Linked DNA regions of Callithrix jacchus. Each later gene encodes a partner of the first gene's protein in a complex. Links are inferred from orthologs where the notes say so. Each region holds a gene or a part of one and is shown on either strand. Other genes may lie near its edges.

Region 1 (4,318 bases):
CGCCTGCCTGCCTAAGCCCCTCATGTCCCATGTCCTCACAGTCCCTTTCTGTGAGGATGTGAATGATGTGTGTATATATGAACAGTACAGCCTGCACAGGTACACAGCCTCTGTTTCTTTTTCTTTTTTTTTTTTTGAGACAGAGTTTTGCTCTTGTTACCCAGGCTGGAGTGCAAATGGCGAGATCTCGGCTCACTGCAACCTCCGCCTCCTCGGTTCAGGCAATTCTCCTGCCTCAGCCTCCAGAGTAGCTGGGATTACAGGCGTGCACCACCATGCCCAGCTAATTTTGTATTTTTAGTAGAGATGAGGTTTCTCCATGTTGATTAGGCTGGTCTCAAACTCCCGACCTCAGGTGATCCTCCTGCCTCAGCCTCCCAAAGTGCTGGGATTACAGGCTGAGCCCCCTCACCAAGCTGATAGATAATTTGCATTTTGAACAGCCTAGGCTGTGTGGATATTACCGGTTCCTGGACCACACTTTGAGAACCACTGACTTAACCCAGGCATGCCTTTCTGCCTCCCTGCTCAGCTTGCACACTTGGTCAGCTCTAAGTTCTGGGGACAGCTGCAGAACAAGGCAGGGACCTGCTGTGATGGGAAATACCTTGGACTGAATGGAAATCTAGGGAGTCCTGTCTGCATGCCGATTTGTGGTGTATTTTACCTTTTCTAAAAGCTCCTGCTTTGCCTGGAGCTGCTGAGCGGGTCTTAATGCCTTTCCCACTCCTATCCTCCTGAGGGCTGCAGCCTGTGCTGAGGTTCTAATCTCATGTCACCTTCGGGCCTGCTCAGCTGCCCTCTCCAACCGTATACGTACCCCGGTAGCCGCCGCCGCCTCCGCCCGCAGTGCAGGCCCCGCCGCCGCCCCCAAAGCCGCCGGCCGCGGCCCAGCCGAGCGTCGCCCAAGCCTCGGGGCAGCCCTGGCCGCCCTCCGCCCCCTCCTGCAGTGAGCCGCCGGCCTGCAGAGAGGGAGCCCGCGACGTCCAGCCGCCTCCTCCACCTGCAGAGCGACAGCAGGAAGGTTGGTAGCCACACGGAGAGCACTCCCGCCTCTCCCCGCGGGCCGCGTCCTCACCTGCTGCCCCGCCTCTCCCGCCACTCCCGGGCGCCTCCAAGCGGTTCTCCAGTTTCTCGGGGGCGGCCAGAGTCCGGCCTCCGTCCCGCGGCCTCAGGTAGGCCCGACCGCCACCTCCGGCAGCCACTAGCAGCGGTTCCAGCTCGCTGGCGCGCACCTGTGGGGCCAGCGGCGCGTTCCAGGACGCTTCCTCCTGCCGTCCAGGGGCACTGGCACTGGGCAAGGGCTCCCACCCTGGGGGTCCGGATAAAGGCAAGACCCCCCCGAAGCCCATCACAGGGTTAGAGGGACCCTAAGAGATGGACGTAGAGTGCGTGCGTGCCCGCCCCTGAGGAGAGGATAGGGACCCCAACGCTGAGCGCCGAAGGGAGCACGTACCCGAAAAACGTAGGTGGCGCCCCCGCCACCCCCGCCACCTCCTGCCCAGCGCCTCGACGCCAGGGCCCCTTCGCTCCCATCCCTCGCCGCGTGTTCTTCAACGGCTCGAGACTCCCCAAGGCAGACTAGCTGGCTCTCCGGGCTACCCTGCGGGCAGCGGGGGCGGAAATCGGCGGGGTCCGGGAGCCTCCCCTCGCTGTGCAGGTGACCCGGTACCGAGGAAGGCTCATCCCCCCCGGCCCCCAGGCAGCCTTCACCCCGCGGCGCCGGAGCCGCCCCATCCCCACTGGCTGCGCTCACTCCAGGACAGGCGTCCTCTCCCTGCTGCCCCACCAGGATGTACAGCGACTCTCCGAGACCGAGGGAGAAGATTGCTGAGACGAAGACCCCATGCGCCCGCGACAAGTGGTTCTTGGCGCCTTTGCCGCCCGCGGCTCCGTAGGCTGAGATCCTGCGGAGAGCGGGCGGTGAGACCCCAGCCCTCGGTGCTCAGGCCGGCCGCTACGGGCAGAAGGTGACGATAGAGAAGGCTCCAGAATTATTTTTTATCTGAGGAACTTGGAGGCTGCAATAGACTCTGACGGGATGGGAAAGCTGATTTTGCACACCGAAAAATTAAATATCACACTATTTCAGGAGGGTTCGTGGAGATGTGGGGAGGCTCAAGCACCCTTTGGCACCGCCCTGGTTGGGGGGCTTCCGCTTGGTGGAAGAGGTTCCAGGTACGGTCTAACACGGTGGCGATTACTGCCACCTTGAGGGGCACTCAAGGTCAGCCTGGGTGGACCTCTCTGGGCAATACCCCAAGACGCAAGGCGGTGCACACGTGGCCTTCATTCCCCTGACGGTGAAACCTCCGACTCCGAGGTCACTGCCCACCCTACCCCCGCCCCGCACTTACAGATACTGGCCGGGGCTCGGCACGCGCCACAGCTGCACGCCTCTCAGATGCCCGGCGGCCTCCACGGTCACCACCACGCTGGTCCCCGCGTACGCCCCGTCACATTGTGTCTGTGTGGGCCCATGCCTGCCACTGGCCCCGCAGGTATTAAACAGCCAAGACCTCTCGGTGCCTGGGAGCAAGGAGCGAGGCAAGGATCGTCGACCCCTGGCTGGGCCAGAGGGGTCTGGAATGGTGAGCGGAAGAGGAGGGAGACGCCTGGAGCTCACCCTGAGAATTCAGCTGGGAGGTTGGCTCCAAGCTACTAGGCCGGGCCCTGACTTTCGGGTCCAGGGGGCTAGGACTTGACAGCGGCAGGGGCGAGGATGGCAGAAAAGGCTCCTGGGACCCGGGGCTAGAGCAGAGAATGGCGCCTGAAAGGTGTTAGCAGAGGGCGCAGGATGTTAACGGGGGTGGAAATAGGATATAAAAGAAAGAACCCCGCAACAGCAGCCCTTGAGGACGCGGCCACACCCTTCACCCTGCCCAGCCTACAAGTCACCACCGGACTCCCGTCGCAGAAGCCCCGCGGGTGCTCGCTCATAGCTCTGCCAGTTTCTCTCCTCGAGCGCCCTTCCCAGTGAATGACTTGGGGGCCGCACAGAATTCGGTTCTGCAGTCTCCCCGTGCTTTCCTCGACTTAGATTGATGGCCCCGCCCCAAGGCGGTGCTGAGACCGCAAAGAATGTTCCTCCTTCCCAGGCTGCGTGATCCAGACTCTGGGATTCACACGCGCTTGGCGCTTCTCCGTCTGCACTTCAGAAGCACGGGCCCAAGAAATTTGGTTGTGAGAGTTCCAGAGCTCTGGAGGAACCACTGACACCTGGCCTGTTGCGACCGGCCACCCCCAAGCCTAGGAAGGTGCCTCTGGCTGAACCGTCCCCTGACCAACAGACAGCACTTACCCGCGGCTCCGAACCATACCAGCAGCAGGCCCCAGCGGCCCATCTCCGTTGGGTCCACCCCGCAACAGCCCTTGCGGTCGCGGCCACGCCCGTCAACCTGAAGTTGACAGCCCACTTTGCCACTGCGGCCCGGGCTGCAGCTTACAGGGGTGTAATGCGGCTGGCAAGACTTAACCCAGGACTTAAAGCCGGCCTGACCACGCCCACCTCAGACCCCAGGACGCCAGAGGAGGAAAGGGCGGGGCGTGTGGGCAGCGAGGTCCCTACGCTTCCGGGAGGAGCCTTAAGGAGTCCCCACCTAAGGCTCTAGTCTTCAGTCGTCACATCTGCCGCAGCCAGCCGGGAGCTGGGTAGGTTTGAGGCCGGAAAGGAGGTGCCCCACTCTCAAAGCGGGAGCCACGCCTCAGACACCAGGTGGGGCTTCCAGGTTCCTGAGGACAGGATCAGTGGAGGGTGCACTTCATTTGTGGTGGTGGTGGGTGTGTGGCACGCGTGACCACACATAGGATGTACTTTTTTTTTTTTTTTGAGACAGAGTCTTGCTCTGTCACCCAGACTGGAGCGCAGTGGCACGATGTCGGCTCACTGCAACCTCTGCCTCCTGGGTTCAAGCGATTCTCCTGCCTCAACTTCCTGAGTAGCTTCCTGAGGCGCCCGCCACCACACTCAGCTAATTTATTTTCTCTATTTTTAGTAGAGATGGGGTTTCACCATGTTGGCCAGGCTGGTCTCGAACTCCTGACCTCGTGTTCTGCCGGCCTCCGCCTCCCAAAGTGCTGGGATTAGGGCGTGAGCCACCGCGCCCAGCTGGGAAGTACTCTTTAAACTGCCCCAAGTAAGGTCTCATTACTTGCCATTGCTTGTGGCTTTCAGTGCTGCCCTTGTGATTGCAAGGCTGAACCTCCCTGCTACCCCCCGAAACTTGGATCTCTGTGTTTGCCTTATGTAGTTTGGTTGCCTGTGTTAATCCTGTGCACAACTTCTCACTGTGATGGGATAAAAGACTGGATGAGATGT
Region 2 (4,237 bases), on another chromosome or scaffold:
ACACGCCACCATGCCCAGCTAATTTTTGTATTTTTAGTAGAGATAGAGTTTCACCTTGTTGACCAGGATGGTCTCGATCTCTTGACCTTGTGATCCACCCGCCTTGGCCTCCCAAAGTGCTGGGATTATAGGCATGAGCCACCGCACCCCGCCATGAGTAATTCTTTAATGTAGTAATTAATTTTTATTCTTTTGACTTAAAGTTCAGGGTACAACCCCTGCCCTACTTTGTTTTTAAATCTATTAGAAATCACAAGACATAGCACTTAGGACATCCCTCCAGCACCTGGGGGATATTCTCCTCCTGAATGAATGTAACCCCTGCCACCTGCTGAGTGTGCCCCATGAGACCATCCAGAGAGGACCTTGTCCTCTGTATTCTCGAGCCCTTGTTTGTCCCCGATCCAAGTATTCCATTCACAGACTCAGATACGGATGTCATGGGCCACCCTTTTCTTCCCTGTGAATATAGTACAAGCAATCAAAAGGTAAGACTACATTCACAGAAAGCAATGACTTTCAAGGCACCCACAGGGCACTTTGTGTCTGACCATATTGTTTTTTAAAATTTCAGAGGGTTGCCACTTTTAACTTTAAAATATTGTTGGCCGGGTGCGGTTGCTCACACCTGTAATTCCAGCATTTTGGGAGGCCGAGGCAAGATCACCTGAGGTCAGGAGTCCAAGACCAGCCTGACCAACATGGTGAAACCCCGTTTCTACTAAAAATACAAAAAAAAGAATTAGCCTGGGCATGGTGGCGGGCCTCTAATCCCAGCTATTTGGGAGGCTGAGGCAGGAGAATGGCTTGAACCTGGGAGGCGGAGGTTGCAGTGAGCCAAGATCGCACCATTGCACTCCAGTCTGGGCAACAAGAGCAAGACTCCGTCTCAAAATAAATAAATAAATACATAAATAAAATATTGTTTAATCCCTGTAACTCACTTCAGTAAGTCTTCACTGTCTTTGAATCAAAGAGAAAAGATTGTTGAATGAAACAGAAGGTCTGACTGAATGTGTGCCCTGTTGCTCCTGTGCTTTGAGAGCCTTTCTCCCAGGCCGTTCACATTCCAAACTGACATTTTATTCTCTGAGATAAATATCTTAGGCTAGAATAATTTTAAGTCAAAGCGCAGGATCCGTGTGCACCATAGCTGCATGGCTGTGCTGCGGACACTGACCCTGTGCCCTCCCGTCCTGAGGGCTCCCCAGTGGCCGGCTGGACTGCGAGGCTCTGCCCAGGTCATCCACACACCGGCTGGGCAGCCCACCTCAGCCTCCCGCCTTCTCCATCCCCTCCCCGGGGCAGAAAACCTGCTCACTCAGTGCAAGTCTGTACCAGCCCCTCCCTCCACACCCAGGTGTGCGGGAGAGCAAAGACACTGCCGTCTGCTCTTCTGGGTGGCCTCCGCCCTCTGAGTGGCGACAGATAGGAACTTGAAGAAAGTTTATGGAGTGAATAAGTACATATTTATATTACAATTATTGTGAAAGAAAAATGGCACTAAGAAACCCTTGTTTGCCTTTTTAGCCGTGAAGCCTGAGGGGAAGGGGTCAGGAGCTATGGTCCCACAGCCAGCCGCTAGCTGCGGGGCATCCCCAGGCCATCCTGGGCTTTCTCTCCCCAAGTCCAGTGCAGGCCACCAAGTGCCCCTGCGAAGGGTCCCTTCTGTCCCAGCCTTGCGGGCAGCTCCACCTTGCTCTGCTCTTGCTGGGTGCGAACAGACACGTGCGAGGAGCTTCTCGCTTCTGTCTCCACCTTCCTTCCCTGCGCATCCTGCCCTCCTCCCTCCAGCGCCTCCCCACGTGCCCGGCCGCCCCCTCGAACCCCCTTTTCCAGGGGCTTTTCCGTTTTCCCCGCATTCACGCGACTTCTCTGCCTGTGGGTGTCTCATGACCCTCTAGAGCGGCGACTTCTTCCTTCCTCATTCCTTCCACTCCCCTCGGGCATCTAAGTAGCAGGAAGCCAACTGTCCAAAGTTGATTTGGGAGCAGCCGCCTGCGTCTTGCGCCCTTCTAAAATAATCCGGGAACGGTCCCTGTAACATAAGTCGCCGTCTGCTGAAATTGGCGCGTCCTCAACCACTCCCTGCGGCCAGCGTGAGGGGGAGAAGAACGGGGCGTTCCTGGCACGGTCAGGTGTCTGCGGGCAGCAATCTTAGTTAATTCTCAAAACCCCGGAAGACCCAGAAATGAGGCGTTGACAGGGACCTAACCTGTCCACTACCCTCGCCCGGTGGGACTGAAACCCATGTCTTTGGGCTGCTCTACCAGTTTATTTCCAAAAAGGCCTCCCACACCTGAGGAGGGACATAAAAAGCTGGTCCCGTTGCCAGTCTGATTTCTTAAGTCTCGACCTTGGTAAATCTAATACGCTCATGACCTCTTTCAGGGAGCTGGGAATCTGCAGAGATGCTCTGTTCTCTGCTGTACTAATTTCAGGCTTCCTAAAACCCGTGCCTCGACCGGCTCCCAAGGGAATCCAGGAAGCCCCAGGCGCAGGGCAAAGGATGGGGCGGGACTTGGACATCATACCTGCGCTCTGGAAGCCGCTGGGAGCGCGGCCGACTCCGGCCGCGGAGAGGACAAGCAACGGTTTGGGCTCCTCATCCGCGACGCGGGTTCCCCTGCGCCCTCGGGGCCTCCCGTGAGCTCCGTGGGGGGACAAAGCCAGCGCCAGCAGGAGGAGCGCGGGCAGCTGGGTGCCGGGCTTAGGCAGCCGCATGTTCCCACGCCGGGAGGAGAGAGCAGGGGGCTCGCGGAGGATCCTGACGCGGGTCTGGAGAGTGCGCGGCCCAGGAGAGGACCAGCGGGACCCAGGGCGCGGCTACCCGGCAGGCCGCAGTCCTCGCCGCGCGCCAACCCTCGTGTGCGTCCGGGGTTCGGCTGGAGCTGCTCTGGGACCCGGCCCCCAGCGTGCGGTAACTTACTTACGGGGCGCGGGGGCGGGAACGGGAGGCGGTGCCTGGGGCGGCAGTGTCGTCCCCCGATGAGGGCGTGTCCCGTTGTGCGGGACCCTCGGAAGTCCGCGCTGCCTGCCGGGGTGGACCCCAGCCTCGGACTCAGCGGGTCTCAGGGCTTCCTACGCGACGCCTGCCTCGGACCCGGACCCCGGGCTCGCTCTCCGGTCGCCGTCCCTGGGAGGACTCAGTAGGGTACCCGCCGCATCGCCCCAGCGGTTCTCCCCGAGCTCTGTCTCCCGCCCTCGCCTGCCCTTCCCGCTCAGCCTCGGGGTCCGTCGCGGCTTCCCTTGGTTGGCGGGGTCTGTAGAACCCGCCGCGCCTAGGTCGGGACAGAAGAAGGCGGCGCAGGGGTGCGGCCAGGAGGAGCGGGGATCGCGGTGCCTTGGGCGCAAAGGTGCGGGTGCGCTCTCCTGCCGAGCTCCTGCTTGCTCGGGAATGCTGGCCCCGCCGTCGCGCCCGCCGCCCCTGCCCCAGGAGGGGGCCCGACCTGCCCTCTGGGTGCGGCACCGCGATATCTCCCGGGTTGGAAAGCGGAGAACCGAGGAGGTCGAGGGCACCGGGACCAGCTTCCCTGGCCTCCCTGGTGGGGCGTGGCGGGTTCCGATACTTCCCCCCGGTGACATCGCCAACGTTGACCAGTGCGCCCAGGAAAGCAGCCGGCTGGATTTTTCAAGTTAGGGAACTCTTCAAACTCTAACTCTAAAGAGTTTTAGTGTTAACAACTTACAAACTGAAATTAAGGCGAGTTCTGATTAAAATAAAGCGAGCATCTCTGATGAAACCGCGCTCTGTGAACTGTCGTGGTTTTAGTCATTTCAGCCGTCTGCTTTGTTGCTTTATATTAAGTATATTGGAAAATGTTGAAATTGCTCTCTAATCAATTGACTACTAATTATCTCCTCATATGCGAAGGGCAGATAGGTGGAAAGACGAAGGCAGGAATAGCTAAGGGCACTGAGGCTTCTTAGCCCCTAGGCATCGCCCAACGTTAACTACTCTACAAAAAGGGATCTTGTCGGTCACAGATCCTGAAAAATGACCTCGACTCCTTCAAATAGTTTATCTACGCTTGGCGTTGCCAACGTGCCTGAGAAACTGCAGAAACAAAGCGAGCTTTGCAGGAGCCTGTGAAATCGTGCCTTTGGATGAAGCTCTTTTGAGGAAGTTATGACACAGGTGAAGACAGCTTCTTCCAATCGTTTCACTGTTGAGCAAGCGTAGGAATCTGGTTTTTACTAGGCAAACACGGTGGTGTAAGAGAATGGCTCCCACCGT

What was found.
Region 2: the proteins of LTK (region 1) and ALKAL1 are in contact, whole or in part, in a crystal structure (PDB 7NX0), measured with the Homo sapiens proteins. The link is inferred for Callithrix jacchus from reciprocal best matches to the Homo sapiens genes LTK and ALKAL1. Residues at the interface, in NP_002335.2 of Homo sapiens: Tyr124, His140, Phe143, Ala250, Ser251, Pro252, Glu253, Leu359, Phe360, Leu361, Gln362, Leu364, Ala365, Val366, Glu368, Glu372, Glu374, Arg376; in NP_997296.1 of Homo sapiens: His93, Arg96, Leu97, Asn100, Thr101, Arg102, Glu103, Arg112, Arg115, Leu116, Arg119, Leu120, Ser123.

What each region holds. Positions count from the first base shown.
Region 1 is NC_133509.1:45,093,548-45,097,865, reverse strand, and holds the start of LTK (leukocyte tyrosine kinase receptor), read right to left. Parts: upstream 2,983-4,318; 5' UTR 2,941-2,982; coding exon 2,892-2,940; intron 2,771-2,891; coding exon 2,627-2,770; intron 2,530-2,626; coding exon 2,358-2,529; intron 1,908-2,357; coding exon 1,457-1,907; intron 1,236-1,456; coding exon 821-1,235; intron 1-820. UniProt on the Homo sapiens protein: Receptor with a tyrosine-protein kinase activity. Following activation by ALKAL1 or ALKAL2 ligands at the cell surface, transduces an extracellular signal into an intracellular response.
Region 2 is NC_133517.1:2,002,391-2,006,627, reverse strand, and holds the start of ALKAL1 (ALK and LTK ligand 1), read right to left. Parts: upstream 2,899-4,237; 5' UTR 2,725-2,898; coding exon 2,535-2,724; intron 1-2,534. UniProt on the Homo sapiens protein: Cytokine that acts as a physiological ligand for receptor tyrosine kinase LTK, leading to its activation. Monomeric ALKAL1 binds to LTK, leading to LTK homodimerization and activation.